Linked DNA regions of Neurospora crassa OR74A. The protein of the gene in region 2 purifies or fractionates together with the protein of the main gene of each other region. This does not show direct contact. Links are inferred from orthologs where the notes say so. Each region holds a gene or a part of one and is shown on either strand. Other genes may lie near its edges.

Region 1 (3,624 bases), on a different chromosome or scaffold from region 2:
GGGAACCTTCCAGTAGCGGGCGGTCCGGTCGCGCGCGCCAACGGACACGCAGCGCTCGCCGGCCAGAGCGTCGATGTCGGGGATCTCATCCTGGTGGCCGAAGAGTGTTTCAACGTAGGCGAGCTCGTCGAGCGACCAGACTTTTACTGTCCGGTCCTTGGAGGCAGAAAATATTTGGTTAGTGCCGCGGCGGAAGGCGAGCGAGGTAACGGCGTCGCGGTGCTGGGTGAAGGCCCGGAGGGGCTTGAGGGTCTCGGCGTCATGGACGACCATTCGCTTGTCGGCGCCGCCGGTGACAACAAACTTGCCGTCGGCAGAGGCCCTGACCGTCAGGATGGCCGCGTTGGTGTGTCCCTGGTATGTCTTGTCCTTTGCCTTGATCGGGTTCGCCCTGTTGAAGCACACTCTCTCGGGTTTCTTCTTGGGCGGCGCAGGCGGCTTCTTTGGCTTCTTCTTGGTCGTCTGTGGCCACTGGTTCTTGGGTAGGTCTTGTAGCTTCCACTTGGTAAGGTAGCCGTCTTTCGTGGTGGTGTAAGCGTACGGCGCGCAAACCGAGACTGATGTTACCGTTCCTGAATTCCATCGAAACTGTGTGTGTGCGGCCTTGTCAAAGTCGAGCTTGGAAGCCAACTGGCGGTAAACCTTGCCCTTGGCCTCGGCCACATCCTCCTGAAGACGCTCGGCCAGCAAATCACGGTCAATCTGCTCGGCGTCAAAGGCATACTCGTCCTCCAGTTCCACCTCTTGTCGTGCCTTGTCCAGATATCGCTGTGCCAATCTTAACCGCTTCTCAGCCGCCGTCTCTCCTTCGTGGTCCGACTCCTCTTCTCCTTCCGACCCGTCCTCTCTCTCAATGTGGTCGCCATCGTCACTGTCAATGTCGCTGCCGGATATCGACTCGTCGCGCTCAACGGCTTTCTTGGGGGCTGCGGGACGTGATTTGGCGGCAGGGCCTCTGACCGACGATGACTTGGCAGTCGATTTGCCAGTCGCAACTCGCTTCTGGGGGGCTTCGTTGGCAGAGGCACGCTTCCTCTTCTTTTCCCCAGCGGGTGCTGTGAAAAAGGACGACATGGTGTTGGCAATTGCGGCCCGGGGCGGTCGGTGCAAATGCACTGGAGTCGTCTGGTGGTAGAGAATGACACTGGAATGTGAATTGGGGTCGCGTTCGGCTTCACTTCAACGCTGCTGCATGGCTATCAAAGTTGAAATTTTTGGGATGGCCGTTCGCGCCTAGACACACCCGACCCGATGGACTTCGAAGAAAAAAAAAAGTTGCCCACCCTGCAGGCTTTCTATCGGTGGAGTAGCACGCCGATTCGTCAAGATCTCCTCCACTGGCTTGGCACAATTGAACGAGTCGGAGAAGGGAATCCCCGTGCCGTGCACTCTACCTTATTGCGTCACTAACAGATATAGGGGCTCTGTCACGCGGAACCGAGCTAGCGAGCTGTTAGTAGTCGGCTGGTGGGGAGGCTCTTGCTGTCTCCAAAAGACGTCCCCGGGCCATCCTGGCAGGTTTCATGACGGAGTGGGGCTGTCTCTCTCGCTGTCTGCTTGCCTGCCCAGTGGTTGCAGCTTTCAGCCCTTCTGGGGACTGGAATGGAAAGATGGAAGACGATAGCGGGCACCTGAACAGCCTGGCCCGTGCTTGTCTTGTCAGCTTGCAGGCTGAAGCTCCAGTGCGCGTTCCCCGTCGCCGTCAGTTCAAGCTCCAACTGCCCTGTCCCGCCATAGGTAGGTAACGACGAGAACCGTGCAAGCCAACGCAACTTGCCAAAGCTTACCAAAACAACAGCATATCATCCATTCACTCACATAACAATCAGCCAAAATGTACGTCGCATCGGTCATGTCTTGGAGAGGTGATATCAGAGCTGATCAGCATGTAGGGAGGTTTTACTAGGCATCACGGGCAAGGACTTTACCATCATTGCGGCGTCCAAGGCCGCTATGCGGGGAGCGACCATCCTGAAGGCATCCGACGACAAGACAAGGTCGCTGAACAAGCACACACTGATGGCATTCTCCGGTGAAGCTGGCGACACAGGTACGGCAGCGATATCGTGATGATGGCGCTTTTGAACCAAACCAAGTTAACCAACTGTTTGTTCCCATCGACAGTGCAGTTCGCCGAGTACACCCAAGCCAACGCCCAGCTCTACTCCATGCGCAACGGGACCGACCTTTCCCCTTCTGCCCTTGCCAACTTTGTCCGCGGCGAGCTTGCGACGAGCTTGCGCTCCCGCAAACCCTACAACGTAAACCTCCTTCTCGGAGGTGTCGACCCTATCACCCACAAGCCCAGCCTCTACTGGCTCGACTACCTTGCGTCGTTGGCGAAGGTCCCCTATGCCGCCCACGGCTACGCACAGTATGTGATCTCGACCGATATCTCTGTACCGTCTTTGATGCGTAGGAGTCATGTACAGAATCACTGACCGGTTCTTTCCTCATCAGATACTACTGCCTCTCGATTCTCGACAAGCACCACCACCCAGACATCACCCTCCACCAGGGTATCAAGCTTCTCAACCTGTGCACCGACGAGCTCAAGAGGAGGTTACCCATAGACTTCAAGGGCATGACGGTCAAGGCGGTAACGAAGGACGGCATCATCGATATCGAGTTCGACGACGACAAGGTGGTTAAGATGGCTTGATTTGTGGGGATGCTTGCTTACTTGCCTGCTTGCGGCTTGGGAAGCCTTGCGGGGGAAGGACAACTCTGTATAATAATACCCATACGACGGAAATGCATGAGTCCAGGTGGCCTCCACCAACGGGAGACCCCTGGCGAATTTGATGATCATAAAGAAAGAGAGAGGAAGAAACAAGGCTATCATGTTAGAGGTGTGAAGTCCGAGAGTCCGTCTCTGCGGCTCCCGGTTTCAGTGTGGCGTGTGGAGCGCGTCTGGGCCGATCATACACCCTGCCACCGACACCATCGCGATACGATACGTCAGGGTTGCTTCTTTTTGATCCTTTCTTCGAAACACTCCTCCAACCGGTCAGATATCGTTACGGCAGTTGAGGTTAAGGAACCTGTTTAACGTCCTCTGGCAATCATGGGCGAAAGTATTATAACATTGAAGCGCACACCGCACTCGGTTTCAATCGAGACAGAGGCTCGACGAGCACTTGAAGTCCGTAGAGGTATTGTGTACCTACCTGAAACCGACAAGCTGTAACATGAATCATGACTACTGGTAAACGTTGAAACAACTAGAAAGTATTTCACATTGTCAGGGAATTGTTGTACAGCCAAATGAGAAGAGCTCGAGCCAGTGAATGGTCAATTCCAATTTCATATGTTCAGTCGGCATCATTAAAAGCACACGCAGAGAAGACGCAGCAAAGGGACTTGAAGGAATGTGCTGAAGTGCATGTGTGTAGTACGAGCCATGTAGTGTATGATCGCTGGCTGACATGACGAGGCCCATTAACACTGAAAGCGGTGAGCGCTACAAGCGTGATGGTTGGTGACTGGTGATACCTTGGGACGACGTGGGGGAATTCAGGACGGAGCCTTTCTGCAAAACCTTCCAAGATAGTACACAACTGTCTCTCTGCAGCTGATACCTACCAACGTACATGTCACCAAAGCGGAGGGCATCAGCGGCCC
Region 2 (3,823 bases):
ACCACCCTTCTTCAGTGCACCGGCCACGTTCTTCAGCATCTGCCGCGCCTTCGCCTCCGTCTCAAAGGCGTAGTGCATGCAAAACATCATGCTGACCACATCAAAGCCCCGATGGCTGGGGCCACCAATGTTGGACGACGCGAACCCGACCTGCCGGATAATGTCAATGTCCTCAATCGACTCGCCATAGCAGTCCTTGACGTGGAATCGCGCCTCAAAGAGTGGCGGCTGTCTCCTATTATAGCCACCCCGTCCACCCCTGCCGCCATGACCGCCACGAGCCACCATACTTCGATACCGATCGCGCGCCTGGTCGATAGAGACATCTGCTGGGTCCAGCCCAACATAGAGCTCTACGGGCTGTGGCGCCTGCTGCCATTTGCCCAAATCACCGCCCTTGCCGCATCCAATGTCGAGCACCAACAGCTGATTGTTCGAACTGATTCCCCGCTCACGAGCGCCAGGCGAGTGGTCTTCGTCAGGAGAAAACTTCTGGATGATACAGCTCTTGACCCAGTTGTTGAAGGAGCGGAGACCTTTGATGCGACTGTCCGTCTTACGCCAGTCACGGCCACGCTCGGGCACAGCATTGTAATGGGCACGTACGACGTCATTGACCGCGTTGCGGCGCTCAGCTTCGGCGGCCGCTTCTGCCTCCCGCTGAGCCTGGCGCTCGCGCTCCATCTGACGTTGACGAATCTGTTCGCGCTCGGCTTCCGTGATGCGGGCACGTTGGCCAGGCCGCTTCTGCTTTCTAGGCTCGCCGCTGGTAGTGGGGGTTTGTGTTCTCTTGGCCGGAGCTAACTTGCGGGCATCAAACGGCTGTGGGAGGACATCGTTGTCGTCCTCATCTTCGTCATGCCTCGCAGACTTGTATCGACGGTCTTCGTTGCGGCCATTGCGGTCGTCGTCGTAGGGCGATTCTGAGCGTTGCCTCTTGCGAGTGGACCTATAACTGGTGTAACCATCGTAGCCTGACATTTCTGGAAAAAACTGTTGGTGTGGTCTCGCAAGGAGACTTGATCATCGGCAAGAACAACTATGGCAAGCGTACAGGCTTCGTGTAACAGCAGAATAACTGATGCGACGGTGAGTGGTGTGAGTTGTGATTTTGACTGTTGATATCGATTGATGCGAGTACAGACACAGGCAAATCCTGAAAGTGAATTCTGGGACTCGAAATTCGGTATGTCGAAGTTGAAAGCTCTTGTTATTGTTGTTGTTGTTGTTGTTGTCGAGGAGAGAAAGCAATTGGAAAGGAAGTCGGGATGCAAGTGTTTTGAGGATGCAAGCATGGGTCGGTCGGTGTTTGAGCCGATGAAGTGTGCCTGCCCGGGCACTGTTCCAGCGGCTCCACTTGCAGGCCTGGCCCGCCTTCCAAGCTCTGTCTCCACTTTCCAGTGCTGACGCGCGAGCTCTGGGGGCCTTGGTCACTCTCCAGTGAGGTCAGCTACTCTATCGACCTTCCGAACCATTCAAGGAGCACCACAACTAAACCACAGACATCACCACCACCCAGCCTCACCTCGACCCGGCATCTTTGGTAGAATCACAGCGCCAGGCCAAGTCACACATTGCGATCCAGTTTCCAAGAGCTTTCAACACCGCGAAACTTCCCATCTTAAGCCGGCATCCACCTCCATCAGCTGCTTGCCGATTTCCAGCGGGGTGCTTCTACCAGACGACGGACACTGACCAGCACCGGACCGTCTTCCATTTGCATCCTCCTCTCCCATCTCCCTCCTTGGCTCGTAAGCTAGCACCCATCACAACTACAAAATGGGCTCCGATCCTCAATACGCGAAATGGCCTCTGCTGCCCCTCGCCCAGCATGTCTTCACCCTCACAAACCCCTACGCCGCCCGCCCTGCCCAACAAGCGGCCGTTAAGAACCTTCAAGATGCCATCACCGAGCACAAGATGGCGCCCTTTTACCGATACCTCGCGCACCCTACCGAGGGTGTCCTTAACTCTGTTGGGGAAGGCGGCTCCAACACTGCCGGTGCCGGAAGGTTGGGTAGGAAGAGCAGCATCGCCGCCGGCATGATCGCGACCCACAAACCCACCACAAGCTTAAGCCTACCGTGGGATGAGAACCTGTACCAGCAGCTGCAGGCCGAGAACGAGAAGGAGCTTGAGGAGTTCCAAAAAGAGGAAGATGAGGCTGTCGAGAAGGCGGGAGACACAGAGATCCAGGCTGCCAAGGGAAAGAGGGCCGAGTTCTGGGCCCGAGTTGGCGATAAGGTTGGTCACTACAAGTTCACTTAGCTACCCATCCACTCCCACCAACCGACATATACTAAGCATACACTCTTCCTATTCAGGAAAAAGCCATCGCCGCGCACCAAGATCTGCTCGAGAAGACGAGCATTCTAGGTACCAAGATCGATCTCGTCCTCGCCTTAATCCGCCTCGGCCTCTTCTTTGGCGACAAGCAGCTAGTCCAGAAGACTGTCGAGCGCGCCAAGTCGCTTGTCGAATCGGGCGGCGACTGGGACCGTCGCAACCGCCTCAAGGCCTACGAGGGTCTGCACTTGCTCACCGTGCGCAACTACAGCGGCGCCGCCCCCTTGCTCCTCGACAGTCTGTCCACCTTTACCTCGTACGAACTCTGCACCTACAGCAACCTGGTGGTCTACGCCGTGCTCGCCGGTTCCGTCTCGCTCAAGCGCGTCGACTTCAAGTCCAAGGTCGTGGACGCCCCCGAGATCAAGGCGATTCTTGGCGACGGAGAGGACAAGCTGCTCGCACTGACCGGCGCCATCTCGGCCGGCCCGGGAGCCGACGCCTCGATGCAGGACGCCGATAACGCCCCCGTGGCGGCCCGGACGGCTGTAGTTAACCTGACCACGCTCGGCAGCAGCACGGAACAGCCTGAGGCGGAGATGGCGGTCGACTTTGACCCGCTCGCGCAGCTGGTTAGCAGCCTGTACAACGGCCGGTACAAGCTCTTCTTCCAGGCGCTGGCCCTGGTGGAGGAGCAATTCCTCACCCAGGACCGCTACCTGCACGAGCATAAGAACTGGTTCATCCGCGAGATGCGCCTGCGCGCGTACCAGCAACTGCTGCAGAGCTATCGCGTTGTGGGACTGGATAGCATGGCCAACGACTTTGGTGTTACCGTGGATTTCTTGGATCGGTTGGTTTTCCCCTTGTTTTTGTTCTACCCCTCTTCCCCCCGACACAAGTTCTATATATACTGATCGTACATCACAAAAACAGTGACCTAGCAAAGTTCATCGCCGCCGGCCGTATTCCCTGCACCATCGACCGCGTCAATGGCAAGGGTGTTATCGAGACCAACCGGCCCGACGACAAGAACAAGCAGTATCAGGACGTGGTTCGCCAGGGTGACCAGCTGATTACCAAGCTGCAGAAGTACGGACAGGCTGTTCGGTTGAGGGGAAGCGAAAGGGCGTAGTAGAGAACCAACTTGAAGAGAGTTAGAAGCTAGCAGTGAAACAAGGGGAAGGTCAATGATGTATAAGCGAGCTGTGCTATCGTTAGCGATTACCTTGGGAAGAAGGGAAGGGGATATGAATGATCAAGGGCATGGATTGAGTGGATGGATGAAAGGCGGAGAGAAATCAGAAGAGAATAGAGCCTAAAGCAACCTATCACATTAAATTGTCGTTAGGGCCTAACTCGTCTCTAGTAAGGACAAATGACACAAAACGACTTGCTCCTCATTGTCACGGATATTGCATCATGTGTTCATAAGACTCCGTTTCTTCTTGTCCAGGCTTTTTTACTTTTGTATTCGTATGTCCCTCGTATCCTGGATAAGGCTACGTACATACGTGCAATGCAAAAGGCTAGCAAA
Region 3 (3,600 bases), on a different chromosome or scaffold from region 2:
GCCGCAAGCCGCGAGAGATACATCCATGAGCCGCCTTGCCGGTTGCGCAAGTAGTCGCGGTTGGACTTGACGGTACGGAAGGAAATGCGGCCTAGGCGATGGATCTTGAGAATCTTCTGCTTGCCGGTCTTGTCGGCTACGATCATGATGTCGGATTCCTTGCCAACACCCACACGACTGCCAACGCTGTAGACGACATCTTTCGAGGAGTGGGTGTGTAGGGCCAGATAGTCAAGACCGCCGTAGGTCAGTCGGTAGCCGTCGTACTTGGCCTCCTTCATGCGTCCGATGAGGCCAGACTTGGCAAGGGTCGCTATGCTCTTGTGAACACCACTGGCACCGCCCTTGAGACGGGCAATTCTCTCGATCAGAGGGGTCGGGACGAGCTCGTGGTTCTTGCTGCCCATCTCAACGGCAGTCAAGACTCTCCAGTCTTCTGCCGTGAGATGGCGTAAAACTCTGGTGTCCAAAAACATGATTGTGTGTTTCTTTTTGGATGTTTTTTGTTTTTTCCCCTCAGGTGATTGTCGGCCTAATTGCTGTGAGAGATTTTCTGATGTTGTATTGATCCAAGAGAGCTATTAGGTTGCTGTCTACGACGCTCTCGTCAAAGTCAAAGTCAAGGTGGGTGAAGCGCAAAGCTGATGTCCAGAATGGAAAGTGGGCGTCCCCCAAATTCCAAATGCACGGTTGCGATAACATCTTCCCGATAAGATAGGGCTGGCCGTGGGCTCCATTCGCTGAGCTGTGCCTGCCCGGTCAAGCGCCAGGTCCAGGCCAGTAGCTTATCTTATCAGAAGCTTGGGGGGAGCGGAATTTGTATCTTCCAGGCTCTGATGACGCCTCGTCCCCACCGAGGCTTCCAGACCCACTTGAGGCGGGCAGCATTGGATCGCAGGGGCGTTCTCAGCCAGACGGGGGAGCTTCAGGCGGCAAGCGAGTCGCGTAACCACCATCGGAGCTCCCTGGCGTTAGTACCGTAACTGCCACTGACCTTTGCTGGCTTTCAGCAACTGAGGTGCTTCTGGGCGAACCTGCAAAAGCTCCAACCTCCAAAACCGTCACCTGAACAACATAACAACCTCCAAACAACCGCAGCCAGCTCATCCACTTTTGATTTTGACATTCTGCTCACGACTGGAGCTCAAGTTCCTGTCGCTCAAGCAAACTCGGTGACAAAACTTGAACATTTCTTGCAGCAGCGAACGCCACCGCCGCGTCCACCTACCCCGGCCAGCCCAACCGACCTTGGTTTCCCCTCCAACTGGACCCATCGGCTCCGCGAATCCTCCCACCTACAACCATCACGGCCAGTAATCATGGCGCAAGAAAGCGACCTGTCCAAGACGGCCGATAAGGGCAAGGGAAAGGCCGTCGATGACGAGAAGAAGCACCAAGATGTCGATGGAAAGACCCCCGCAAACGGAAAGAAGGAGGAGGAACAGAATGGTGGGTTTCTCGGCCACTCCGACCGACTTGAGGTATCGGCGCCGGGCTTCTGCTGACAGCGCTTTGCGTTAGCTTCCGAGGAACTCAGTGAAGAGGATCAGCAGCTCAAGAGCGAGCTTGAGATGCTCGTTGAGCGGCTAACGGTTGGTGCTTCGCAATGACGTGATACAGGCTGAAGACCGGCTTCTCTAACAGTACAATGTCTTCAGGAATCCGATGCGACCCTCTACAAGCCGGCCCTCGAGGCCATGAAGAACTCTATCAAGACATCCACATCCTCCATGACGGCGGTACCGAAGCCGCTCAAGTTCCTGCGCCCGCATTATGAAACCATGACGAAACTCTACGACGAGTGGCCCGCTGGCGATGATAAGTCATCTCTCGCAGATGTTCTATCGGTGATCGGTATGACATACTCGGACGAGGACCGCCAGGATACTCTGAAATACAGACTTCTTTCCCCAACACAGGACATTGGCTCGTGGGGTCATGAGTACGTTCGCCATCTCGCCCTCGAGATTGGCGAGGTCTACGCCAAGCGCATAGCCAATGATGAGCCGACTCAAGAGCTGGTCGATCTTGCCCTGGTTCTGGTGCCGCTCTTCCTCAAGAGCAACGCTGAAGCCGATGCCGTCGATCTGATGAGTGAGCTCGAGATCATCGAGGAGCTTCCCAAGTTTCTCGACGAGAACACCTATTCGAGAGTCTGCCTGTACATGGTCTCCATGGTCAACCTCCTAACCTATCCTGACAACGAGACGTTCCTTCGCGTGGCGCACAGCATCTACAAGAAATACAACCAGCACACCCAAGCCATGGTGCTTGCGATTAGACTCAACGATCTTGGACTCATCGAGAAAGATTTCGAGGCGGCGGACGAGGATCCTGCGCTTCGCAAGCAGCTCGCTTTCCTTATCGCGCGCCAGGGCATTCCATTGGAGTTTGAAAGGAGCAATGATGACGACGAAAAGATCTACGAGTGCCTTTCCAACCAGAAGCTGTCGGAGTATTTCAAGTCGCTCGGGAAGGAACTCAACATCTTGGAGCCAAAAACGACTGAGGATATTTACAAGAGCCACCTCGAAAGCAGCCGTGTTGCTGGTATGACCAACTTTGATTCTGCCCGACACAATCTTGCCGCCGGCTTCGTCAACGCTTTTGTCAATGCCGGCTTTGGGAGTGACAAGATGATGCTCGTTGGTAAAGACAAGGACAGCTGGGTGTGGAAGACCAAGGATGAGGGTATGATGTCTACAGTGGCGTCGCTGGGAACCCTGCTCCTTTGGGACGTCGAGAACGGTCTTGACCACGTCGACAAGTATACTTATCTCGAGGAGGAGCAAATCCAAGCTGGCGCATACCTCGCGATCGGTATCATGAATACTAACGTTAGGACGGACTCCGAGCCCGCGATGGCCCTGTTGGCTGATCCCGACAAGCTTGCGCACAAGAACCCGCTCATCCGCGTAGCTACCATTATGGGTCTCGGACTGGCATACGCAGGGTCCTGCAAGGAGGAGCTTCTCTCGTTCTTGGTCAACATTATCAGCGACCCTGAGGAGAGCATGCAGGTGTCGGCTATGGCTGCCCTGGCCTGCGGTATGATCTTTGTCGGCTCCTCCAATTCCGAAGTCAGCGAGGCCATCGTGACTACCTTGTTGGACGAAGAAAGTGGAAGCCGCCTCAATGACAAATGGTCCAGGTTCCTTGCGCTTGGCTTGGGTCTCCTCTATTTTGGTCGCCAGGAACAGGTGGACGTTATTCTTGAGACGTTGAAGGCGGTTGAGCACCCTATGGCGAAGCCAACTGCTGTTCTTGCTGAGATTTGCGCCTGGGCTGGCACCGGTGCCGTCCTCAAGATTCAGGAGCTCCTTCACATTTGCAACGAGCACATTGAGGATGGAGAGGAGAAGAAGGGCGAGGAGTTGCTTCAGGCCTATGCCGTTCTGGGTATTGGCTTGATTGCCATGGGCGAAGATGTTGGACAGGAAATGGTTCTCCGCCATTTTGGTCACCTTATGCACTACGGCGAAGCTAACATCCGACGAGCGGTGCCGCTGGCTATGGGTCTTATCAGCCCCAGCAACCCTCAAATGAAGGTTTACGACACTCTGTCACGGTACAGCCACGACAATGACAATGAAGTGGCCA

Evidence for each region.
Region 1: the proteins of rpn-7 (region 2) and pcb-4 purify together in Saccharomyces cerevisiae (affinity purification with mass spectrometry; 4 studies listed by BioGRID). This does not show direct contact. The link is inferred for Neurospora crassa OR74A from reciprocal best matches to the Saccharomyces cerevisiae genes RPN7 and PRE1.
Region 3: the proteins of rpn-7 (region 2) and rpn-1 purify together in Saccharomyces cerevisiae (affinity purification with mass spectrometry; 6 studies listed by BioGRID, with this or other methods). This does not show direct contact. The link is inferred for Neurospora crassa OR74A from reciprocal best matches to the Saccharomyces cerevisiae genes RPN7 and RPN1.

What each region holds. Positions count from the first base shown.
Region 1 is NC_026505.1:3,792,659-3,796,282, forward strand, and holds pcb-4 (proteasome component C11), read left to right. Parts: upstream 1-1,605; 5' UTR 1,606-1,834; coding exon 1,835-1,836; intron 1,837-1,892; coding exon 1,893-2,050; intron 2,051-2,124; coding exon 2,125-2,374; intron 2,375-2,460; coding exon 2,461-2,662; 3' UTR 2,663-3,099; downstream 3,100-3,624. Other genes in the region: NCU01367 (rRNA processing protein RRP9), read right to left, coding at 1-1,074. UniProt on the Saccharomyces cerevisiae protein: Non-catalytic component of the proteasome which degrades poly-ubiquitinated proteins in the cytoplasm and in the nucleus. It is essential for the regulated turnover of proteins and for the removal of misfolded proteins.
Region 2 is NC_026506.1:2,285,592-2,289,414, forward strand, and holds rpn-7 (proteasome regulatory particle), read left to right. Parts: upstream 1-1,423; 5' UTR 1,424-1,779; coding exon 1,780-2,244; intron 2,245-2,324; coding exon 2,325-3,139; intron 3,140-3,222; coding exon 3,223-3,421; 3' UTR 3,422-3,738; downstream 3,739-3,823. Other genes in the region: NCU03971 (mRNA cap guanine-N7 methyltransferase), read right to left, coding at 1-981. UniProt on the Saccharomyces cerevisiae protein: Component of the 19S cap proteasome complex which acts as a regulatory subunit of the 26S proteasome, involved in the ATP-dependent degradation of ubiquitinated proteins.
Region 3 is NC_026504.1:2,086,965-2,090,564, forward strand, and holds the start of rpn-1 (26S proteasome regulatory subunit rpn1), read left to right. Parts: upstream 1-936; 5' UTR 937-1,319; coding exon 1,320-1,449; intron 1,450-1,521; coding exon 1,522-1,592; intron 1,593-1,658; coding exon 1,659-3,600. Other genes in the region: rbg-40 (serine/threonine-protein kinase RIO2), read right to left, coding at 1-476.